Linked DNA regions of Lepisosteus oculatus. The protein of the gene in region 1 interacts with the protein of each later gene in a pairwise test. Links are inferred from orthologs where the notes say so. Each region holds a gene or a part of one and is shown on either strand. Other genes may lie near its edges.

Evidence for each region.
Region 2: the proteins of efhc1 (region 1) and E3 SUMO-protein ligase ZBED1 interact in binary tests that used the Homo sapiens proteins (3 or more experiments, as listed by UniProt). The two-hybrid records come from large-scale screens. The link is inferred for Lepisosteus oculatus from reciprocal best matches to the Homo sapiens genes EFHC1 and ZBED1.
Region 3: the proteins of efhc1 (region 1) and kctd4 interact in binary tests that used the Homo sapiens proteins (3 or more experiments, as listed by UniProt). The two-hybrid records come from large-scale screens. The link is inferred for Lepisosteus oculatus from reciprocal best matches to the Homo sapiens genes EFHC1 and KCTD4.

The regions. Positions count from the first base shown.
Region 1 is NC_090697.1:20,736,309-20,743,201, forward strand, and holds the start of efhc1 (EF-hand domain-containing protein 1), read left to right. Parts: upstream 1-3,872; 5' UTR 3,873-3,993; coding exon 3,994-4,056; intron 4,057-6,289; coding exon 6,290-6,511; intron 6,512-6,893. UniProt on the Homo sapiens protein: Microtubule inner protein (MIP) part of the dynein-decorated doublet microtubules (DMTs) in cilia axoneme, which is required for motile cilia beating.
Region 2 is NC_090708.1:23,796,444-23,804,365, reverse strand, and holds the start of E3 SUMO-protein ligase ZBED1, read right to left. Parts: upstream 2,928-7,922; intron 1,631-2,927; 5' UTR 1,598-1,630; intron 1,580-1,597; exon of another isoform or gene 1,342-1,579; intron 1-1,341.
Region 3 is NC_090710.1:16,187,188-16,194,041, reverse strand, and holds kctd4 (BTB/POZ domain-containing protein KCTD4), read right to left. Parts: upstream 2,858-6,854; 5' UTR 2,651-2,857; coding exon 1,874-2,650; 3' UTR 518-1,873; downstream 1-517.

The DNA.
Region 1 (6,893 bases):
CATATAAAGTCTAGGTAAAAACCATTTAGGAGAACAATCTATTATTAGATATCTATAAATTCATCATAAAATCAGTCACAGAGGACAGAGTCATTACCTGATTTACATTGGCCTAGCAATGTAGAACAAAAACTTGACAAGTAAAAAAGTTAGGTTGTAATTCTAGCAATAGAATTTTTGTAATTCTAGCAATAGAATCTCTTTGGGAGAAGTGACACATTTAAGTAATGATTTGTCACTCTGGACAAAAACCACAGTATGTACTGTATTAGTATACCTCTACAGTGCCAATGCGTTGCTGTGTGTCATTTAAACCAATGAGACTTGACCTGTTTTATCTGTATGGTGTTTTGGGGATCTGTTTCTGGAATGAGTCTTGTAAAGATGTCTGTGTCAAAGACATTGCAGCAGCGAAATCGTCTTTTTCTCGTGCCAACTTGTTGTGCAGTGTTAGCATATCTAGTTGGATGCTTAATTTTAAGGTGCTTAAACAAATTACCAGTATTTCTATTTTTATGCACTTTGCATTTACAAAAATTGCAACTGGTTTTAATTTCTTGTTAAAAAATAATTGTAAATGTTTTTTTACAGTAATGTTGCGCACTGTACTAGCGTACCTTCACTTGGTTGGCCAAGGTATTCCTTTTGATCCTGATTTCTGAATTTCAATAAATGCTGTTCTACTTTTCAGTCAACATAAAACATGAACTTTGGTATGAGCAGTTTTACACAGTTTCCTTCATACTTAAAAATGGTCATTCATTTTGTCAGAATGTGCTAAAAATAAGTCAAAGTTGATATTTTGGTGAAAATATACCAATAACAGAAAATAAATGATACCAAAAGTATCAGATACTTAAGTATTTGTTCACCCACCCCTAGTTTTTAAATGCCACTATATTTTTTGTACTGTATGCCTGATATTGCTAATGTTTTAAAACATTATCACTGTAGAATCAGTCTAATGTTCTTTTTGTATGCTGTCTTGTATACAATTTAAGTGTTTGTGGTGTCTCTGCAAGTTTACTATTAAATTACTTTATAGTCCTAAATTTTGTCTTTTTTTTCCTGTCACCCAACACTGATTAAATATTTAGATGATATTGCAGTAAAGGATAGTCCCCAGGTCAGCTGTGAAAAATGTAAAAAAAATAAAATTAGATGTAACCTCTTGATTCCTAGCTATGTTTGATAATTTGAAATGGCTTAAATACCAATGTTTGCATTTTTTTTTGTAGCACATTATAAATTATGTTGTAATTTCTACATTAAAAAAAAACAATTTTTAATGTACAGTATTTCCATGTATTTTAAATATTAAATAAGTATATTTAATAAGTAAAAGCCTGCAATGTGGAGTCGTGGTTAGAGCTCAGAAGTATGGACTGGAAAGGCACCAGCCAAAATAATGTTGATGATGATGAAGAAAAGCTTCAGCAAAGTATTGTATAAAAAATCTTACCATTTCCAATAACGCACAGGTTTTAAAATTTGCAAGGAGGAAGTAAGAGAGTTTTTATTAATCTTCCATATCCACATGCTTCTGCCACCATTTTACAAGAGAATGGATGCCCTCATAACAAAAGGATGTTAGCTGCGCCCGAGTCTTTCTTGCACCATTACTTGGATCTGGTTGTCTTCCCTGACGCTCTGATCTCGGAGAACCTCCTTCTGTGGTCTGAATGGAAAATTAGTTGGTGCAAGAGCTCGACGGTAAGGTAGGATAAGCATTCATATATGAACTTCTCTATGTACTGTATGTCTCACCATGTCTGGGGGTGTGCTGTTCGGTGTTGAGGAAAAGGGTACTTTTAAAAAGTAATACATTTCAATTAAAAGTTACTTGTGTAAGGGAATAGATAGTAGTAAAGAATGATCTCTTTAGAATGAGTATAGCCACTATGTAAAGGAATACATTACTTTCTAAAAGCAACTTCCCTCTTTAAAAAGGTAAAACATTACATATTTTAGTATTCTGCCCCTCGGGATGGACTACCAGCACTAATTCCTTAAACGTTCTGTCACACATGTTCACTTTTTCCTACTTCTCTCACTATATAAAGGGATCTCACTAGTGCACCACACCTGTTAATAATTAAAAGAGAAGCAACTTGAGTTTGCACCCCTGAGATGTCCTGCCTGTTCCTTCTCCACTCAATTACACACTTTAAGGGAAAAGAGGATGACTGCTGTGTTGTAAGTGGGATTCCCATCACCTCAGTCCCAAAAGGCAAACATGGATGTCAGGAAGAATACAGACAAACTATTTGGCAGATTCGTGGATGAATTAGGATAAGGGTGCCTACTTTCAGGATTGCTTTCCTCTCGCAGGTGTATGGCTCTGATTCACACTAGAGCTGAACCAGGACAGCCAGCTTCCCTGTTTGACAGGAGTCTTAGGTGGGACCATGATAGTGGAGCTTGCTTTAGACTTCCAAATTAAAGACAACCTAAGTCATTGGACACATAGATCCCAAAAGAACTGCTGTTCTCAATGCACACAGGACCTATCAGAGGGGCTGGAATGTTTAGCTTGAAGCCAGGGACCTTGACTGAGGGACACAACCACACAAGGTCAGAGGAGGAGAAGGCTATACTACTGCCAATAAGTTTTGAAGGGAAAGCTCAAGGGGTTCTGTTAGATCTCTAGTTCCTACCTATTACATTGCAGTGGTTAATATTTAGATTTATTTATGAAAAAGTAGCTAAACTTAATTTGGGGACCACTTTCTCAGAATGCTACATTTATATCATGGTCTCATAAACCAAAGGTGTTCATAGCAAATTACATTATGACTTTTCTCTTAAGTTTAAGTTCAAGTTCATTGTCATTATACTCATAAACAGGTATATGGTATAATGAAATGCTATTTAGCTAGCTCTCATAGGATAAGTTGTACAAAAAAACAACAATACAATTGTATAAGAAAAAGACAGAAACAACAGGCGGTGTGCAAAACAACAACAGGTAAAAGGTAATGTGCAAAACAACATCGGATTTGCAAAATCATACATCAACAGAATAAAATAAAGAATAGAAAATGATGGGGAGTGAGCTTCTTGACATGTGAGGTAGAGGTAGATTTCAATGTGTGTTTGAGTTTTTGGTAAGAAGGCACTGTGAGGTTCAGATCGTAAGTGATAGAGGCTGGGAGTTCGATAGTTTGATAGTGTGGGGGTAAAAACCGGACCACTGTCTCTGAGTCTGGTGGTCCGGGCCCGAATGCTCTGGTACCATTATCCAGATGGTAGAGGGTCATACAGTCTGTAGCTGGGGTGTGTGGGGTCTTTGATGATGCTTAGAGGTTTCCTCAAGCACCGTCTGTCATAATTGTCCTGTATGGATGGGAGGGCAACCCCAGTGATGGACTGGGCAGTTTTCACCACCCGCTGTAGGGCTTTGCGGTCAGCAATACTGCAGTTGCCATACCACACTGTGATGCAACATGTCAGTGTGCTTTCTGTAGTGCATCTGTAAAAGTTAGTGAGGATCTGGGGACATATCTTAGCCTTCTTCAACCGTCTTCAGAAGTACAGGCGCTGTTGCGCTTTTTTGATCAGACAGGTGGCGTTGAGAGACCACGTGGGGTCCTCGGTGATATGGACGCCAAGGAATTTGAAGTTACTGACCCTTTCCACTTCAGTCCTTAACACCTCTGTAATCCATTCCAATGCACACATCTCACAGTAGCGAGTTTATTAGTATAAAAAAATCATTTATATGATGATGCATCCGCTTTTTTCCCTTACAACAGACGTTTTATGGGGTTATTTGAAAGGTTTTTGGCGTTGCTTGCCTTAGTCAGTCACAGTTTTGTTTAGCGTCTCCATGGCAGCCGCGTTAATTCCGTGGTTGCCAGGTTACCATTTTAAGTATGGGAAGCAAACCCAGTGCGCTCAGATGTGCTCGGAGAAACTATAAAGCTCAGTACCACTGGTGGAGCTTGGAAACGGAGTCCAAACTCTTCACTTGCAGCTAGGAAGTGAAACGCGATGGCTTTAAACCCAGCGCAAGGACTACCCTTTTTACCTGGAAACACGTTTCGGGATCCCACGGTAAAGTTGCTGTCATTATCATTGAATAATTCAACATAACATCATACTCTGAATTGAAGTAACCTTTATTGTCCCGAAGGGAATTTGTCTTGCTCAACAAGAGTTCATAACATATAGCATGTATGACAGGAAGACAATATAGCAACAGTACAATACCATGATAAAAAACGTCACTCTGCTGTAAAGATTGAACAGTTTACCAAAAACCCGAAAGAAGAAACTTGTGTTTTTCACTTTAGAAATACTCGTCCCCCATATCCATCACACGCCCTGTTACGGAATGAGTTCGGTTTATTGGTGATCAGGTTTTAATATAGATAAGTAGAACTGTGAGTTTGTGTCGTGACTTGGGCAAAAAACTGTGAAGTATTTTTGCTTGACTACGTTATGAACGTATTTTAATTAAATTTAAGACAAATTATCCTTTGTATATACAAACAACGCGAAATGTGGTGTTTATAACTTAAAACAAAGTGTAAAATACTATAAAATGTACAACAGCAGCACTATATAATGATATTGTATTCAATAATATTGTTAGTGTATGTAATAATGTTAATATTAACTGAACCTATCAATAATTAATGTAATATAGTCGGCTCAACGGTTTTTGCAAAATATGTTTATATACAGTATGTGTACATTTTGTTTATATTTATTTGTATATTGCATTTTAAGAAGTCTTCTCGAAAATAGAAAGTCACACTTTTGTTAGATCACATTTTTTCAGGAAATGTGCCTTTCGCTAATTATCTTCTCCTTGTTTTAATAATACATTAAAAACACTTGTTTTGATGTTATGTGTTTAACTTGATATAATAGGTTGCTAAGTACTCATTAACATAAACGCATCATTGGCATTGTCATAGACAATGACAAACTACTTGTAAGTCCAGAACATTCAGTGAACAGCAGGTATAGTTTTCTTGGATTTAAATTACATTTTTTGCTGGATGCCCAAGAACTCTGCTTTTTTATCCTCTTGATGAGGATGTAGAAGAATACAAATCTACATAAACACCCAGACCCCTCATACCAACCAATATTCCTGCAGCTCAGAATCACTCTGTATCCTGTATTGAGTATTCCTGCATTCTGCGTGGATCGCTTTGCACTTGCCGGCATTAAATTTCATTTGTGAAGTGTCCTGCCAGTCCATGATCTTGTCTTTTTGTTAGCCCCTTTCTACTGTTTCTGTTTGCCACTGTTCTCAGGAGAGCTTCTAAAATATCATGGAGTATGCCAACATGTACAAAAGAGTAAGCACATATTAAGTCTTTTGAAAACAAACCTTGATTTGTGTATTTGTTAAAAATGTATTGTTTGCAAAGCAGGTACAGTACCAAAGTTTAGAATGATACATTAAACAGAAGACTACAGCAAAATGATATTTAACCTACTCAGTCCCATCGCAACACATAAACTGTACTAAACCCTCAGGGACTAGAAAGCTGCATATGACAGAGAGAAACCTCAATTCCAGAACTGACGGGCCTCAGACATCACAGACTGTGATGCTCCACAGCAGCTGTAGTCTCATCTGACTGATGGTTGCTTTTGTTTGTCATTCAGTGATCTTCATTCCTGTCAAATGTTAAAGATGAATCAAAAGGAGGCTGTGGGTTTTAGCAAACCCACCAACGTAAAAGCTCTCACTCTTGCTAGAAGCAAATAGCAAGAAAACATTTCAACAACTAGTTGATGACACACATTGAACTACATTTTTTTCACAGTTGAACATTGTAAGTAAAAGCCAATAAATAGCACAATGAAGAGCACAACTTATTCTCTGACTAGTATTTGATGGCAGGTTACTATTGAGCAGAAAAAAAACTGCATTGAAGGACTGTATTTATTTTCTATTTGTTGGCAGATACGGGAGGTTGAAGTTTTGTTTCAATACCTCCAGGATTGGTAGAGTGATAAAGACAAGACAAAGAACTCTTAAAAAGACATTTAGTCTGCTTAGGACAAAGATGAATATTTTATTACCGTCAATGGCCAAAGAGCACATTGAACCAAGTTTGGATTTCTTAGTCTTAAAGACTTTTCAGAATGACACTTGCAGAACCCCTGAGTGTTCAACCAAAACATAAGCTCATTCATTCTCCCCTTGCATTGAAAGGAGTTCTTGGAATGAGGTGACACGAAAAGAAACAGTTGTCAACTTCAAAACTCAAAAGAACTATTGAAAAATACATCTTTATAACTCTGTTGTGCTTCTTTCTTCTAGAAGTCATCATTCCACCGGTCGCAGACGCTGGACTATAAGAATGGCTATGCTTTGCCACGGCGCCCAAGGGTGGGCATTGGACAGGATCCCCTTCTTTCCAATCAGATCTCCCAATCTGAGCTCAACCAGCTGGCCACCTTGTATCCTACTCTGATCTATGGACAGTCTCGCCCCTCGCCCCCTGTGGACTTTATCCCTGCACATGTCGCCTTTGATAAGAAGGTATGGTTCATTTACATCACATCAAACTGCACACATTAGAAGAACAGTCTAGAATGTGAACTTCCCCATTACCCCCAAAAGGCTGTTCAAGGTATTTGATCCACATCATTTTAAGTGATCTGGTCTTCAGACTATCCTAGTGTGATAAGTGCAACATCACAATCATCCACACTTGTGTAAAAGAATGTTTCTTTTTCGTTAAATGGAGTTTTTAATGAAAGTTCGGGAGGAATGAAGGCAGCCGCGCTCATTCGACACAGCTGCTGCAATTCTCACTAATCCTGACATAAGCAACCGGTCTCCATAAATATCAAACGTCACCCTCTCCTCTTCCTCGTTCGTTTTCTGCATCCCTCCTCCACCCCCTCTCCACCTTTGCAGC
Region 2 (7,922 bases), on another chromosome or scaffold:
AGACATGTCAGGCATAAATCTGCATGTTGCCAACCCGTTTTACAAGCAGAATAAACACCTGATCAGCTGATTCTCATGTTTTCGTTACTGACTCCCACTTAAAACGTTTAACCAAAAATTGATGTTGGATGTTGGTTCACATGCTGTAAGGTTTTAAATTAATCTTCCATCCATCCATCTTCGAAACTGCTTTATATCCAGTAGCGGGTCATAGAGGGAGCTGGAACTGAATCCAGCAAGCCACGGAAGAAAAACATGATACACCCTGATTGGGACGCCAGGCACACACAGACACATACACACTCACAAAAGAGCAAATTTTCCCAGAAGCCAATTCATCTACCAGTATGTCTTTGGACTATGGGAGGAAACCGGAGCACCCAGAGAAAACCCAGACAAACACAGGGAGAACATACGAACTCCATGCCGATAGCATCCTCAGAATGAGCCCAGGGCCCCAAGTGCTGCAAGGTAGCCATGCAAAATACCGCACCAAGGTGCTGGCCTGCCTTGCCACATCTTTGTCCTAAATGAAAATACGAAACAACATTCCGGTTGTGACTGAGCCACAATCCTTTTAAGCACTCGCTTCTCTCCATTCCAGTGAACTGCATCTCCTGTTAGACTTCAAATGATGATTTGTTGTGAGAAGCGAAGAAACTCATTATACAGACTTCTCTCTTGATAGCACACTTGCTTTCAGCTTTCTTATGAATCCTCTGTACAAAAACTGCAAACAAGATCCTTTAGCCAAGTTTAATTCTACAAAATATAATTAAGCATCGGAAAGTGAAAACTGTACGCGAGTTCAAGTTTTAGTCTGGGCAATGCAGCACCAACAAACACACAAAAATAGCTTGTGAGGTATTATCTCATTATTCAGATTCAGATTTTTTTTTCTCTGCTTGGATAATTGAATTTGATACTAGCTAAAGCTGCCACGTCGGCTTTGCCCACTTGACATCCCCTAGGAGTCTGACGTTGTTTCCTCCTCTTCCGCTTTTTTTTCATCAATTTGCTTGATGGCACGCAAATCAGAGCAAGATAACTTTGAAGCCCCTTCTCTTGCATTTTAATTGCCAGGCAAACCCACATCTTTTGTTAAACCAGTTTCAGCAGATTCGGCATCACTTGGGATGCATCTTCCACAGTCCTTCTGCTGCACCAGCGGCAGACAGGAAAACACTTCCCGGCCTCTCACTTCTGAAATGAAGTGACTCTACAGACACTTCTGCTCCTGTACCTGTAACCTACAGTACGACTCGTTCCGTGGAAACAAAGAAGCACTCTGGAGATTCTGATCAGTTAAAAGAATAAAACAAACAGCACCACAGTAGTCACCTGACAAAGCTGCTGATTATTTTCTCCACTTCGCAGACAGGTGCAGAGGCTGGGGCCAGATTGCTCAGTCTGATGTTAGTCCTATAGGCTCAGCTTTATTACTGTATGTAGGCCGACAACCTTATGGTATATGATGCTGGATGTCTGTCACAGTCACCACAGAAGCATAGCCACCATTGGGTTGACACAAGGCAGCCTTTATGCAGCAAGCAGCCCCAGTGCATGGAGGATCGCTAGCAGAAATGCAAAACCGCACCTTTTATTAAGGTTGAAATTGAAGGAGGTCAGCCTGCAAAAGGACAACATGAAATTCAGTCAGGACTGAAACTTTGATTCTTTTCAAAAGTGCCACGGGATCTTTAATGACTTCAGGTTAACATCATGTCCAAGCAGTGACACCTCCTAAAGCTTTTGTTTTGGGGTGGGGGGAATTCTTGTCCACAGGGAATACTGCCACCTACTGGTCCACTATCACCACTTGCGGCAGCACTGGTCTGCCCTCACAGTGCTGCTAGGATGGTTATCCTGAAACCACACAATAAAAGATGTACAAGTAGCTGCTTTCCTTATTACAATTTAAATACTTGTTTCTTTAAATAAAACACTGTTCCAGAATAGGTGTGTATACTGTATATTAGGACAACTGATTTTAAAGTTAAGCATACTGTAACAATAATCTTGCTGCTGCTTAAGTTATAACAATTGTCCACTTCTACATTTCAGACCTTTATGACCTATAGTTTCACACTGGAGATCACGTGAAGAATGGCACCACTGTATTTAATCTGTACCTCATCAAACAGGACTTAAGCCAAATATATACTGCACAGGGTCATAGTCACAAAGCACTTAGTGGAAGCTGATCACTTGGTATACAATAGTTACAACTACGGGTGGTTGAAAGTAAATTTAGAAATGAAATACTGAACTTAAGAAATACTGACAAGTTTTTGAAGCTGTGAAAACCAATTGTATATTTTACATTACATTATTCAGAAAAATATCTATTATTGGTTTCACATATAATTTAAAAGTTCTTATTGTATAATCGCTGCTTGATAGCTTCAAAATACCCAAAAGATGGTACAAGATGAAAATGAGCGAAATCCGTTTAAACGAAATGGGAATCATATGATCGAGAGCAGTTCCCCCTCTGCTAAGGAGAGACAGAAATCCACTACAAGGAACAAGATCAAGAAACTGCTACGAGAAGCTGGTACAAATACGGTACAGCCCTCCGCTTTAAGATACTGTAACGATTAAATATAACTGCCAGCGATCTATCTTTGAGAGTGACTATACAGTACATAAGAAAAATGTGCCAGTGATATCATTTCAGACACGCTTTTACACATACTGTGCTTGTGACGATTTGATCAAATTCAAATAACCTCTTCATAATTAGAAAACAATTATACACAGCTACTGTACACACTAACTATGACTCTGAGTACGATACTAAAAGATATGTATTACGCATGGACTTTGGCCTGTTTGGAAAATTGTAAGCAGTTGTCACAACGATCCACAATAAGGAAAACTGGTCAAGTGTTATGTCTGTTTCAGAGCAAAGAGTCGGTTCTAACCTGGCAGAGTGAACGATTTGTTGAAGAGCTGGTACAGGAGAACCTTAAAGCCGATATAATACACCTTCAACACTGAGAGAACCACCGAACACAGCGACATGTCTGCATTGATCGCTCTCCAGCCGCCTGTTACTGCGTGCCCCGTCCTTTTCTGTCCGGAGTCCGCCTTCGGCAGCAGCGCTGACACCCCACCCCGCGGAAACTTGTGCTTCTCACACCACAGTTCCGCCGTCGGATCTGCATACAGCACAATGACCAAGCCGTGCTAAAATTAGTATGTAGCTTGCAACAATCTCATGCGCCCACCCGAAGACCGCTCATAATCACTTAACCACGGGTATATTCATTATTTATCATTTATATTTTATTTAAGAAAAACAAAATCGTCCAGAATTTTAGGCTTAAATACAAATAACTTCAACAAACTAAAATATAATTAATCATTTTTACTATAGTTTACCAGTCATGTGGAAATATTTTAAAATCTAAATACTGAGTAGTGTACCTTATTATATGCTCTGCTGGTATCTGTTACTGCTGCTGCCTGTTCAAAGGAATCTATCAAGCTAAATGCATATTTTTCAAACCCAGATTACCTAGAAAACTGATATCTTATAGTTACTTCTCTAGCTATTTTTTCACAATAAGATAATATCACTTTATTAGCCATATACAATTGCTTGCATCAGGAATTCATCTTTTCACATACCCCATTTTGTTCTCCATGAGACACAGACAGGGAGAGAAGCTTAGGGTCAGAGCACAGGGTCAGCCATTGTACAGCAACCCTGGAGCAGTTGGGGTTAAGGGTGTTGCACAGGAGCCCAACAGAGTAGGATTCCTCTGCCAGCTGCAGGATTTGAACTGGCAACCTTCCAGCCACAGTGCCCCTGCTCCACCCAATAACTGATATGGTTAATGGAAGTAAGACTTCAGTATTTATGTATAGCTGATAATTAAAATTTCTAGTTACTGCTAATTGTAATAACTTACCTGTAATCAATTTGAATAAATTTGTATTAACACTAAAAATATTTCATGAAGTGAATCTACGTACAATTGGTAACACCTGGCTGTGCCAACATTTCCAGCTCCAAAGCAAGGTGGTGTTTACCGAGATGGAAGGGTCTCAGATTCAGTGATCAAAGCAACCCACTGAAACTAAGCAGGTGTGAGCCTGATCAGTACCTGGATGGGAGACCACCTGGGAAAGCTAAGGTTGCTGCTGGAACAGGTATTAGTGGAGTTATTAGGGGGTGCTCACCCTACAGGCTGTGTGGCCCCTAATGCCCCAGTATAGTTATAGGGACAGTATAGTGCAAAAAGGTGCTGTCCTTTGGATGAGATGTAAAACTGAGGTCCTGACTCTCTGTGGTCATTAAAAATCCCACTAGCATCTCTTCCAACAGCAACCTCAGCTTTCCCACCAGGTCTCCCAGCCACATACTAGACAGGCTCACACCTGCTGAGCTTCAGTGGGCTACCAGTTTGAGTTGTAAGGTGATATGGCTGCTGGCTATATCTTATTATTAAGATTAATTTAAATGTTTATTACTGAATCCAACAGACTTTCTTAAAAGAAAACACACCTTTGATTTAAGCTCCATTTAAAAGAGATGATTATATCAGAAATGTGTTACAGAAAACAGTACAACACAACAGTTAGTCTGCATTCCAGAAGAATAAAACCCTACAGGCATTAATCACGTAGGCAGTGTTTGGGTTTTGTGTGGCCACTGGTCTTCTGCATAGGGAGATCCTGTCACTTTTGAAATTTAATTTGTGACATTGACACCTTGTATTAACTGAATTCACATTGTTACAGTGCAGGTAGACTAAAGTGAAATTGTGATTTCTGAGCAATTGCTTCTTTAAAGATAATGAACACTTTCTGCGGTGTGAAAAATGTGAACATTTTTTTATGGTCAGTTTGCATGATGCAAAAAGAAAAATCAAAATATTAACATCGCATGGTGATATAGCAGCTGGCTTATGATTTGTGTATGTATGTGTAGTGTTAAATGAATTGCTTTGCTTTAAAAAATACTCTATCCAGAAAACATCGAGATGTTACAAGAACACCATAAAATTCCAAATTTTATATACTGAATACCTTCAAAATTGGCTATGGATACATATTCTCTGTAATGGTGAAGTCCACTGCAGATTCTGGATCAGTCCAGTTGTCTCTTTGGGACTTAAATAATATTACGTCAGAACTACAGGGATTCCATGCAGTTTTTGTGCTTAGTTTGATTTGCGCAAAACATAAATCTGTTCCTAAAGCAACACAACCTATTTTTAGTTAAAATAATAAACATTTCCCTTTGCTATAGATGAAAAGGAAGGTATGATTTGCATTTTATATTATTATTATTATTATTATTATTATTATTATTATTATTATTATTATTATTATTATTATTGCCGTTGTTGTTGTATTAGATGGAGTGGTGTCCTATCCAAGGTGAATCCTGCTTTGTGCCTGTTGCTTGCTGGGATAGGGTCCAGCTCTCCCGGAACCCTGAATTGGATGAAGCGATTAGAAAATGGATGGATGGAATAATAATTATTATTATTCAAAGTAATGATAGAGAATAGAGGACTATAATTCCTGCCAAGGGTGTAAGAGGTAAGACATCTGGTGCAAGACCCAGTAATCAACATGGTCTGGCTCATTAAAACTTTACAAAAAGATACAGTACATTCATCCATTCGCCAATTAAATGATTTTCTAAAAAAATAGCCCGACAAAGATCCTTCACAGGGGTTTAGTTGAAGCGAGTGCTTGTCTTCCACTTACGCCAAATGTAATGAAGAAGTTAAAACTGCTGTCAATAGACTTATAGGATGAAAAACATCCCTCTAGACAGCTACTGATCTGTGTTCAGTTCTGGCATTGGGAAGAGACAGGTGTCTGACAGAGGAAGGTGACAGCTGTGGGACCTGTCACAGCTGACAATGAATGCAGGTAGTGATGAGCTGAATCACTCAGGACAGCGCCAAAGCATTTGGCATGAGAGATGACAGCGTGGTTACTATTTTTAAAGAAATACACACCTGATTGTATAACAACAGGGTTTAACCATAAGTCTAAACAAGAGCTCCAATCCATTGTTTATCAGCCTTTTATCTATGGCTTTATTTTAAAATGTCATACAATGGTTAAATTCTGTTCCTCTTTGCGAATGCTTTGAGTTCAATCCGCAGGTCAAGTTGTCTGTTAATAGAAATTGCTATTAGCACAGAAATATGGTGCAGGAATTCAAACAGAGTTTACACTGATGTTGTCTCTTCTAAATTATGTAGTATGCAGTACTACAGATATATACAAGAATTATGTTTGGATTTGATTTGAGTTAAATCCCCTTACTTGAATATATTATATGAATTTGCTTAAATAGACCATTCAAGATGCTTTTTTAGTATTACAGAATTAGTTTCTTAATGTTATTTTTTGTGGTAAACATTATGCAACAGGTGTGTTTTTATGCTATAATCTAATCAACACTGCACAAGAAAAATCTTTAAGCAAGTCAACCTCTGTTAGCCAAGCAGTCTAAGGAGACACTTGATGTAAAAGGCACTTTTATATCAACATCAAAAGCCTGTTAATAAAGACATTTTTTATTTTACGCAGATTTTCCCACCATTCCTTCCTTACAAATAATTATTGGCTTTGTGTCCAGTGAAGAGACATCACATTCACCAGCTGTAAATCAAATTAGAATTAGCCTTAGAGTTGAATTAGCCAACAGAAACAGACAGACACTTATCAGTTCATTTTTTCCTGCTTTGTTATGCTATTCTGATATCATGTTCCTTTTTGTACAGGACATTTAATGAAACAATTAGCTGTCTGCTTGTGACATGATTTTACTATTTCATTTAAACGGCTCCTGGAAACTGTCACTGTCACCTTTTAACCTTGGAGTTGGTTAGAAAATGAATGAACATCATCTAAAGAAGATCCCGAATCTACATAAACAATGGATTAGAGCTCTTCTTTAAAAAAAACAAGAAATACAGTACAGTACAGTTAAGACATCATAGAATGTACTGTACTTCACTTAGTGAATTCTACTAATTTACTAATCCACCTCACTGTGCAACAGAGGCTCAGTCACCTTAGAAAAACATTTCAGCTTCATTGTGTTTACGTGATAGTAAGTTACAAGTAAAATTGAAAAGGAAAAAGTTAAAACTGGTTTCCTTTTCTGGCCCATAACAGTATTGTAAATATGCCTGTTGGACGAGTACCCAAATCCTTATTGAGTAATAGTGGATAATGGATCTTCTTCAGCTTGCATCATTGGACAGGGGAAGAGTTGAATTTCACTTAATGCTACTTCATTTTTTCTGTTTCAGCTCACATCACTAAGATCACTTAAACTTTAAAAGTCAGAGTGCAGAGCATTTGCAAGTGCTGACAGAGGAATTTAACAAAAAAGGAAAGAATAATGTTCAAAATCACAGATACTTGACGTTATAATCATTGAATTATATTCTCTCTTTTGTTTCATCAACTGTTTTTTAAAATATTTTTACATTTTAGCAAGGAAGTGGTTATATGCAGACCATGTTTCATAAACAATATTTGTACAAATTAAAACCCTCTATGAATCACTAATCTGAAATAATTTCCCATATATTTTTTAAATCAACAAAACATCAACATCAACAATTCAGCCAGTAAAATATGGTCCTTTGAGTAACTAAATAACACGGATCTGAACTTAATCTCTGTGAAAACTCTAAATCTACTCAAAATATATATTATTAAATTATGTTTTAGAAGCTATTGGGGATGACCATTGGAAAAACTTTATGTAATATTTAAACGGTGTGTCCACTTCAGTATCAAAATTGTAACATACTGTACAGTACACCTTTAGCACTAATAATATTTTAAGAGATTTCAAGGTCCTTCAGTTCAAATAATAGTCAAATGCTTATATGTATCTATTCTAAAACACTAAGTAAAATATATAATTT
Region 3 (6,854 bases), on another chromosome or scaffold:
CTGTTTGCTGCTTTAATTGGTGTAGTTGCTCCCTCTGGACATGAATTGTCTCAAACCAGTGCCCCCGTATGGAGACCGGGGGCCGCCGTACTGTAGGAGGCACCATCCTTTGCGGGGTAGTGGCTGCTTGCTCATTAAAACTTCGCTGCAGCAAAATGTTTTTGCAGTATTTGTAAGAGCAGGAGTGCATGGCTAAATTGTGCACTCGTTCAGCCTGGCCTGCCTCAGGCTCTCCCTCATTTCTTCTGGTGAAGTCGTGGAGCTGCTGGCACATAACGGCCACCGCACGTCAGCCGCCTCACGTCAGGTGGGCACTGCACCGCAGGGGTGGATGAAGAGGATCTGTGAAGCCTTTGGGGCTTCTTCATGGTTAAAGCACTGTACAGTAGCCAGCAGTTATTACTTTTATACTTGCGGTAATTTCAGTTTTATCATTTCTTCAAGTACAGTAAAAAGCTGTCTAAAATGCAAACTATGTAGGAATTTGGTAGGAGGACAGTACAGTAATGACAGTCTATTTTAAGATCTGCTTTGACAGATATTTATTCTTCATTGTAGGCTTACACAAAAGAACATTTTCATTTTCCAGTTTAACTTGGTAATGATCTCGTTAGAGCTGCAGGGAGCCATGTACAGCTTTATTGTAAAGTAAGGTACACTTCTGGCAAGTAACTATAATTATGCAGAACTAACCTCAGAAATGCATTTTTTCTTTATCCTTACAAACACATTCCTTCTAAAGAAGAAAAAAAAAACCACCTGGAAAAACTGATTGGTCCCTCAAAAGATCCAGCCGGCTCTAATGATCATATAAAAAAGTTAAAATATTTTTTTTCAGGCTCATGAGAGCAGAAATGATAATTAGATGAAAATGTAATCCGTTTCATTCCTGTGTCTGTACTGTTGATTACATTTGAAAACCCAGATGAATAACCCATCCCAGCATCTGCCTGAACAACTTCAAAAATGCTTTTAACACTTTGTAGAAGCCAGTGTATTGGTACTCCATGGTATTAATACATCCTGCATTCCTCAATTTCTAAAAAATTTTACCTGGCGTTTCTTGAATAGGAGATGTTTTAATTAATTGATGTGACTGTCACTTTTTCATTATAAGTTAACTGATCTCTACACAGATTAATATCAATTTTGAAGTTCAGTGTAACAAACAACATAAACAGTAAGCTTTAGATACAAATCATAAATGAGCTTTTTGCATGCAATAATCTATAATTTCACGAAAAACAAAATCGTTCATTCTATCTAATACAGCATTTGCATTACTTCAGATATGTAACAACATTTTGATATGGCAAATATAACTTCATATTGCAGTTACAGACATCTTCCAAAACACTTCCAGTATGTCATTTTTTTTCTTTACACAGCACAAGATCTGATACATTTCACACCTATTTAAGTAAAGCATTCAAATGTCCAAATGATTTAATTCTTCAGGGAAGAACCTCATTGCTTGTTTCAGAGAATTGAATGATTATCAAGCCATTTAGGTGGTGGATAAGAAGTATAGGACAATCCTTGAATCATTTACTCGTTCTGTTCTGCCATAATTGGAAGAAGTACGGTGTATGCCTGGCAAGGAGATAGTTAATCCAAGTCGTTGAACAGCCTGATGTAGCACAAAACAGCGTCATTCACTAAGATACCAGCAACTGAAAGCCTTGGGTGATGTGAAAGAAATGAAACAGAGACAGAAATGCACACCAATTCCATGTCATCCCGAACTGTGGTGTGAAGACAGCTCGTTGGTAGCGATGAACAACATCTGAAGCAGAATCTGCGAGTTAAGAAGGGATCCTGCTAAGGGGCTGTGTGCTCTCGCCGACGCAGGCTGGCGTTCCTCGCCGCGCAGTCACTTGACGAAGTGCAGCGCCTCGCAGTGCACGACGGAGCCACGGGAGCTGTCGAGGCTGGTGAGCAGGCGGTAGCCACCTCGTAGGGCCAGCATCACAGTCTCCAGCTTGAGGGTCTCCAGGGTGCACAGGAACGTGTTGTCCTCCTTCAGCACCAGCCGTGACCCCATCTCCGACTTGATGAAGTGCCGGAACTGGATCACGTTGGAAGACACGATGAACTCTTCGGGAAAGCCGTCCAGCCTGCTTTTGGAGACCTGCACCAGGCGGCTCTTGACCTTGTCGATGAAATGCGAATCGCTGCAGAAGACTTTGAGGCCCTGGGAGCGCTCGTGGCTGTCCGTCACCTCCAGGAAGGCTGGCTCTCTCAGTGTCGCCTGCTGCTGCTCGCAGTCTTTCACGGCTTCGGCAAGCTCCCCTAACCGGTAGAACTCTGCCTCACGAATCAACAGGCTGAACTCTTTAAAGTCTTCGGGCAGGAGGAGCTCCCCAATGCGCAGGAAGTTCAAGATGTGGCGAAAGAGAGGACCATCTCTGTCAATAAAGGTGTTGCCGACTGCATCCACATGCAAAACTGGCTTTTTTCCACTGATGATCTCTTCCAGCAAAGAGCCCGGGTATTTCGATAAAGTCTGCTTTTGGGTGACATAGAGGTAGCCCCCTATATTGAGGGTAATGGTGAAAGACGACAGCTTCTTAAAGCTTTTGCTTGGTTGAAGCAGATCAGGATTCATGTGCTTCAGTTCACTGTCCATTCTTCTGAGATTCCATTCCATTCCAGAGCAATGTGCTTTCCCTTGTCAGGCTGTGCCTCGTCTCCCTTTGTGAAGCTGGAGCACCTGTGTGCGCGTTTGTCTGTGCTGAGCTGTGCAGTGCTGGCTGTGAAAGAGATATGCAAATGCTGCTTACATTTCTTAAGCTTTCAGCACAGCTACGCTGTAGGAGGTGTATCGACTGTGCTGTGAGGTGGGCTTGATGAGGAGGCGGGGGATGGGGAGAAGAGCTTTTAACCCTCCATTCAAAAAGGATGATTTAATCACTTCATTACTCCAGTGTGCTGCAGCAGTGTTTCGGGCAATTAACATTCTCTCAGTGATGAAAGGTGAGTTGCAGCCTGTAAGAACTACGAATGCCTCTTGTGGAGATGAAAAATCACAGAGAATTAAACTGTTAAAGCCATAATGAGCGTGATCCACTTCTTTTAAAGTTGTCATGCTGCCCTTGGGCTTAATTGTCAGTGTAAAATGGCCACAATGAATAATAGGTGCAACAGAGAGCCATAGCTAATTTCCAAACTCATTTTTTTGGTAAACATGACTCTGATATGTTAAAGGCAAAAGGGGGTTTGTGTATTTAAAAATATATCCATACAGTTTTTTTGTGGTGGCCTTTGTGGTGAATATTTTTAAATGTCTTCCTCTTGCTGTTTGTCTTATTTGCTTGTTGGGATTCTGTGCATCGCTACCTACGATTCTTCAGTGTCAATTTCTGCTTTCCCGAGCTGTGCCCGGAATGTGTTATGTAAAAAGTCAGTTTGCGGAGAGCAGTTAAGACATGCTGGTATTCCTGTCAATGTATTTTCAGTAACCTGAGCAGTCAGTATTGAATGAATCTTGAGAACAAAAAACAAAAGAGGTGGACAATGCAGACTTTTTCCTGTCAGCATAAATGACAAAATGGCATTTTTGGCTTAATGGAAATCTTTTTGAGGAAAGGTATAATATGTTGGTTAAAGGGAGTTAGTGAGCCTTTTATTGTACAAAAAATGTGGAATTAACTCTTTGTTGAAAATGTTAACAGCAATATTAATTAAGAAAGACGTACAAGCCATAATAAAGAAATTCCTGATCCCTCTACCTGTTCTGCTCCACCCTCCTCCTGTACCCCTCAAGTGCAACAAATAATAGGTAGTAAATACAGCATATTTGATGTTTGACATGGTAATGTGTACCTCAAATGTAATCCATATTTTTCCTCTTGCAAACTTCTTGGGAGTCAAAGGTACAGTATGCTATTGGCTTATTTCATAATGCTGGCGAGGCAGATATAACCCTGAGGTAATGAAATCAAATATCTTTAGGACATTGAAGATGCTGTTAGGAAAATTGTTGTTTTCATGCTCTTAAGGAACATTCCATAGCTTTTAATGGAAAAAAAGTATAGCATAGCTCCAAGCTTAATCAGGACTTCTCGGCACTAAAAGAGTGCCAGGTAAAACTGACATGTGACATGTACAGTTGATCCTGAATGTTTTCCCACCAGGAGTGGACAATTTTAAATCGCTGATAATGCATTACATTGGTGACAAAAAATAAGTTAATTGATCAACTATTTACTTTTTAACTTAATATCTTAATTATTCATTGTGCTGGTTCTGATTTATTTGCACCTGAGATGATTCTATTCCTCGCCAAGTTGTTTTAGGCTGGGTTTTTTACCTCTCACAGAAGCGGAAGTATTTTATTTAAAGTAGGTCCTAAAACGATGTAAAGATGCGGTCGAATTTAACCGTTTCCTGCAGATATTGTCGTCTGTGTTATTTTCTGCTTTTAAATACCTTTGTCTTTTTTTTAAGATGGTAACAGGTCTTATCTAATCTGTTTTAGGTCCATGACAGCTCTGCCATACCTGTGAAAGCTAATGCACAGCCTAATTGTTAAGCAGTTAAACTATTTCTCAGACGGCAATGATAATGTTTGTGCTACGCAGTCTGGTTTTGGAAATGGGCACGGTGCTCTTACAGCTGCTGTCACATTTTAAACACCCATGAGAAAATCAGACCTATTTTTCTAGGTTTGTAGATTTATTTATTGTAGATGTTCTTACTGCTGGTCCTCAGGACCTAATTCTCTTCTGTTTTTTTATTTTAGTTAATTCTAGTTAATTAAACGATACCTAGTTGAGAAAATCATTTGACAGTTTGTAAAATTCTGCCTTTTTAAGTATCAACTGTTTGATGGATATATTTGAAAAAAGAAAACCATGAGGGACAGACCTTATTAAAGAAGATTAGTCTGATCACAGACTTTTGTTGCCTTTGGTTATTCAGCTTTTCTTGTTCATTTTAATGACCTATGTCTTGGTTTCAGGATTTCCTCTATTTCCACTGCAGTGTATAAAAATTTGATTTCATACTCCTTTATTCTTAATCATAAAAGGAGTACCTCAAGGTTCTGTCCTGCAACCAGTTGTTTTTTTCTATACATGTTTAAATTAACAATGTAATCCATGTAGCAAGCAAATATTTAATCTGGCTGTTGACAATATAATCATGTATTTAACACTCCCTTGTGTTCTGTGTGGCTTTATTTACAATTAGTGGTCTGGGACGTTTTTGATAAATGCTGACAAACAATAATTTAATCTGTAATAGAAAAAAGGTCAAAGATTACAAGTTGAGAACCAAAATTTCTGGAGTTATGCTACAACTTATGAATGGATATAGATATGAGATATTTATATCTTTAAGATTTATATCGGGTAGTGTCGTATTTTTCACTTGCATGGGTTTTCAGCAGCCACCTGCAACGTCTGACGGATGCTTTTAGTTGTCAGGCAGTCTGCTGCTGTCTGTGCCTGCTAACATAAATATTAATTTAATTGTATTGTTAGCAGTACCTGTAACAGTAACAGTAGTATTAATAGGCGTTTGTTGTCATGCATATTACTACTTGACTTACCTGTAAAATAAGGCACCTGACTTTCCAGCTGGTCAGGAGAAAACAGGAAAGTGATCTCTGCTGTTTAATTAGAAGATAGTCGTGTTTTTCTCTTTTCGTCCATAGTGTGTGTGTGTGTGGCTGCCTTTTTATCCTTCCGAGGCATTATAAGGTAGAAAAAACCTCATTAGAAACTAGGAGAGCAAGGCCGGAAAGGAACTCTTTGATTTGTAAAGGTCCTACGGCATTTCATGAGAATGTGATGAGGTAGTATAAGATTGTGATCTTTACGAGACAAGCAGTCTCATACAGCAATAATGTGAGACTTACAACACAAAAAAGCACATAGCGTGGTTTGTGGGATTGTTGTTGTGCCTCACTGCAAGCCCAAAACGCCACAATTCTCCACAATTGTAGTAAGTGTTGTGGGAAACTGGGCATTTCCATTATGTGTGATCATTTTAATATTGCAGGGCTCAAAAACATCCTTTGTACTAGCTGTATTGCTCCCAGAATTTTACCAGAGAATTGACCCTAATTGCAGTGTCACAGTATCGGCAAAAGCTGTCTGATTAGAATAAAGATTTAAAGCAGTGTATTGTAATGCAAGTTTATTTGTGAGCTGATATGAACATTCTACTTGAACAATAAAATGAGAAGCCAGATTTTACAGCAGAAGCCATATGGGTGAAAAAAACAGTTACTGTTGTTCTTGAGAGTAGGCAAGGAGCAAGATTTTCTTTATGGATTTCTTTGAACCTGTGATATATTTTGAATAAACCTGTATATTGTCTTCACATTGAAGCTTTTTAAAATTCAGAGCACGAATGTCCATATACTTATACGCTTGTTTCCTATATTTTGTAGTGTGAATTAATCTTGAAATATTCAAGAAAGGTGAAATTACAGTTTGACAGATATTACTTATAAAAGCAATATTCCAAAAACCCATCATTTATTAATAATATATTCCAATAACAATATTGTTGAGTTTCTGAAGGCTATTCTTTGCTAATGTCTTATTCTCCAGAGCCCTTGCCTCAATTCGCCAGAGCCTGAATGGTTCTGAATGCAGAACTTGTAACATTTGTAATATGGCTGCTCTGATATTAAAGGGAAATACTGCTTAATAACATTTGCCAGCTATCATGCATTGCTAATGTACCAGCTTCACAAAAATGGCACATTATAGGCTTAAATTCTGTTTAGTGCTACCTAAACACTATATATAGATTGAAATAGATATTTATATAATGGTATTTTGTATAAATGTTTAGGTGTGAGATGAATGACATAAATGACTGAGGTATAGAAAATGAGA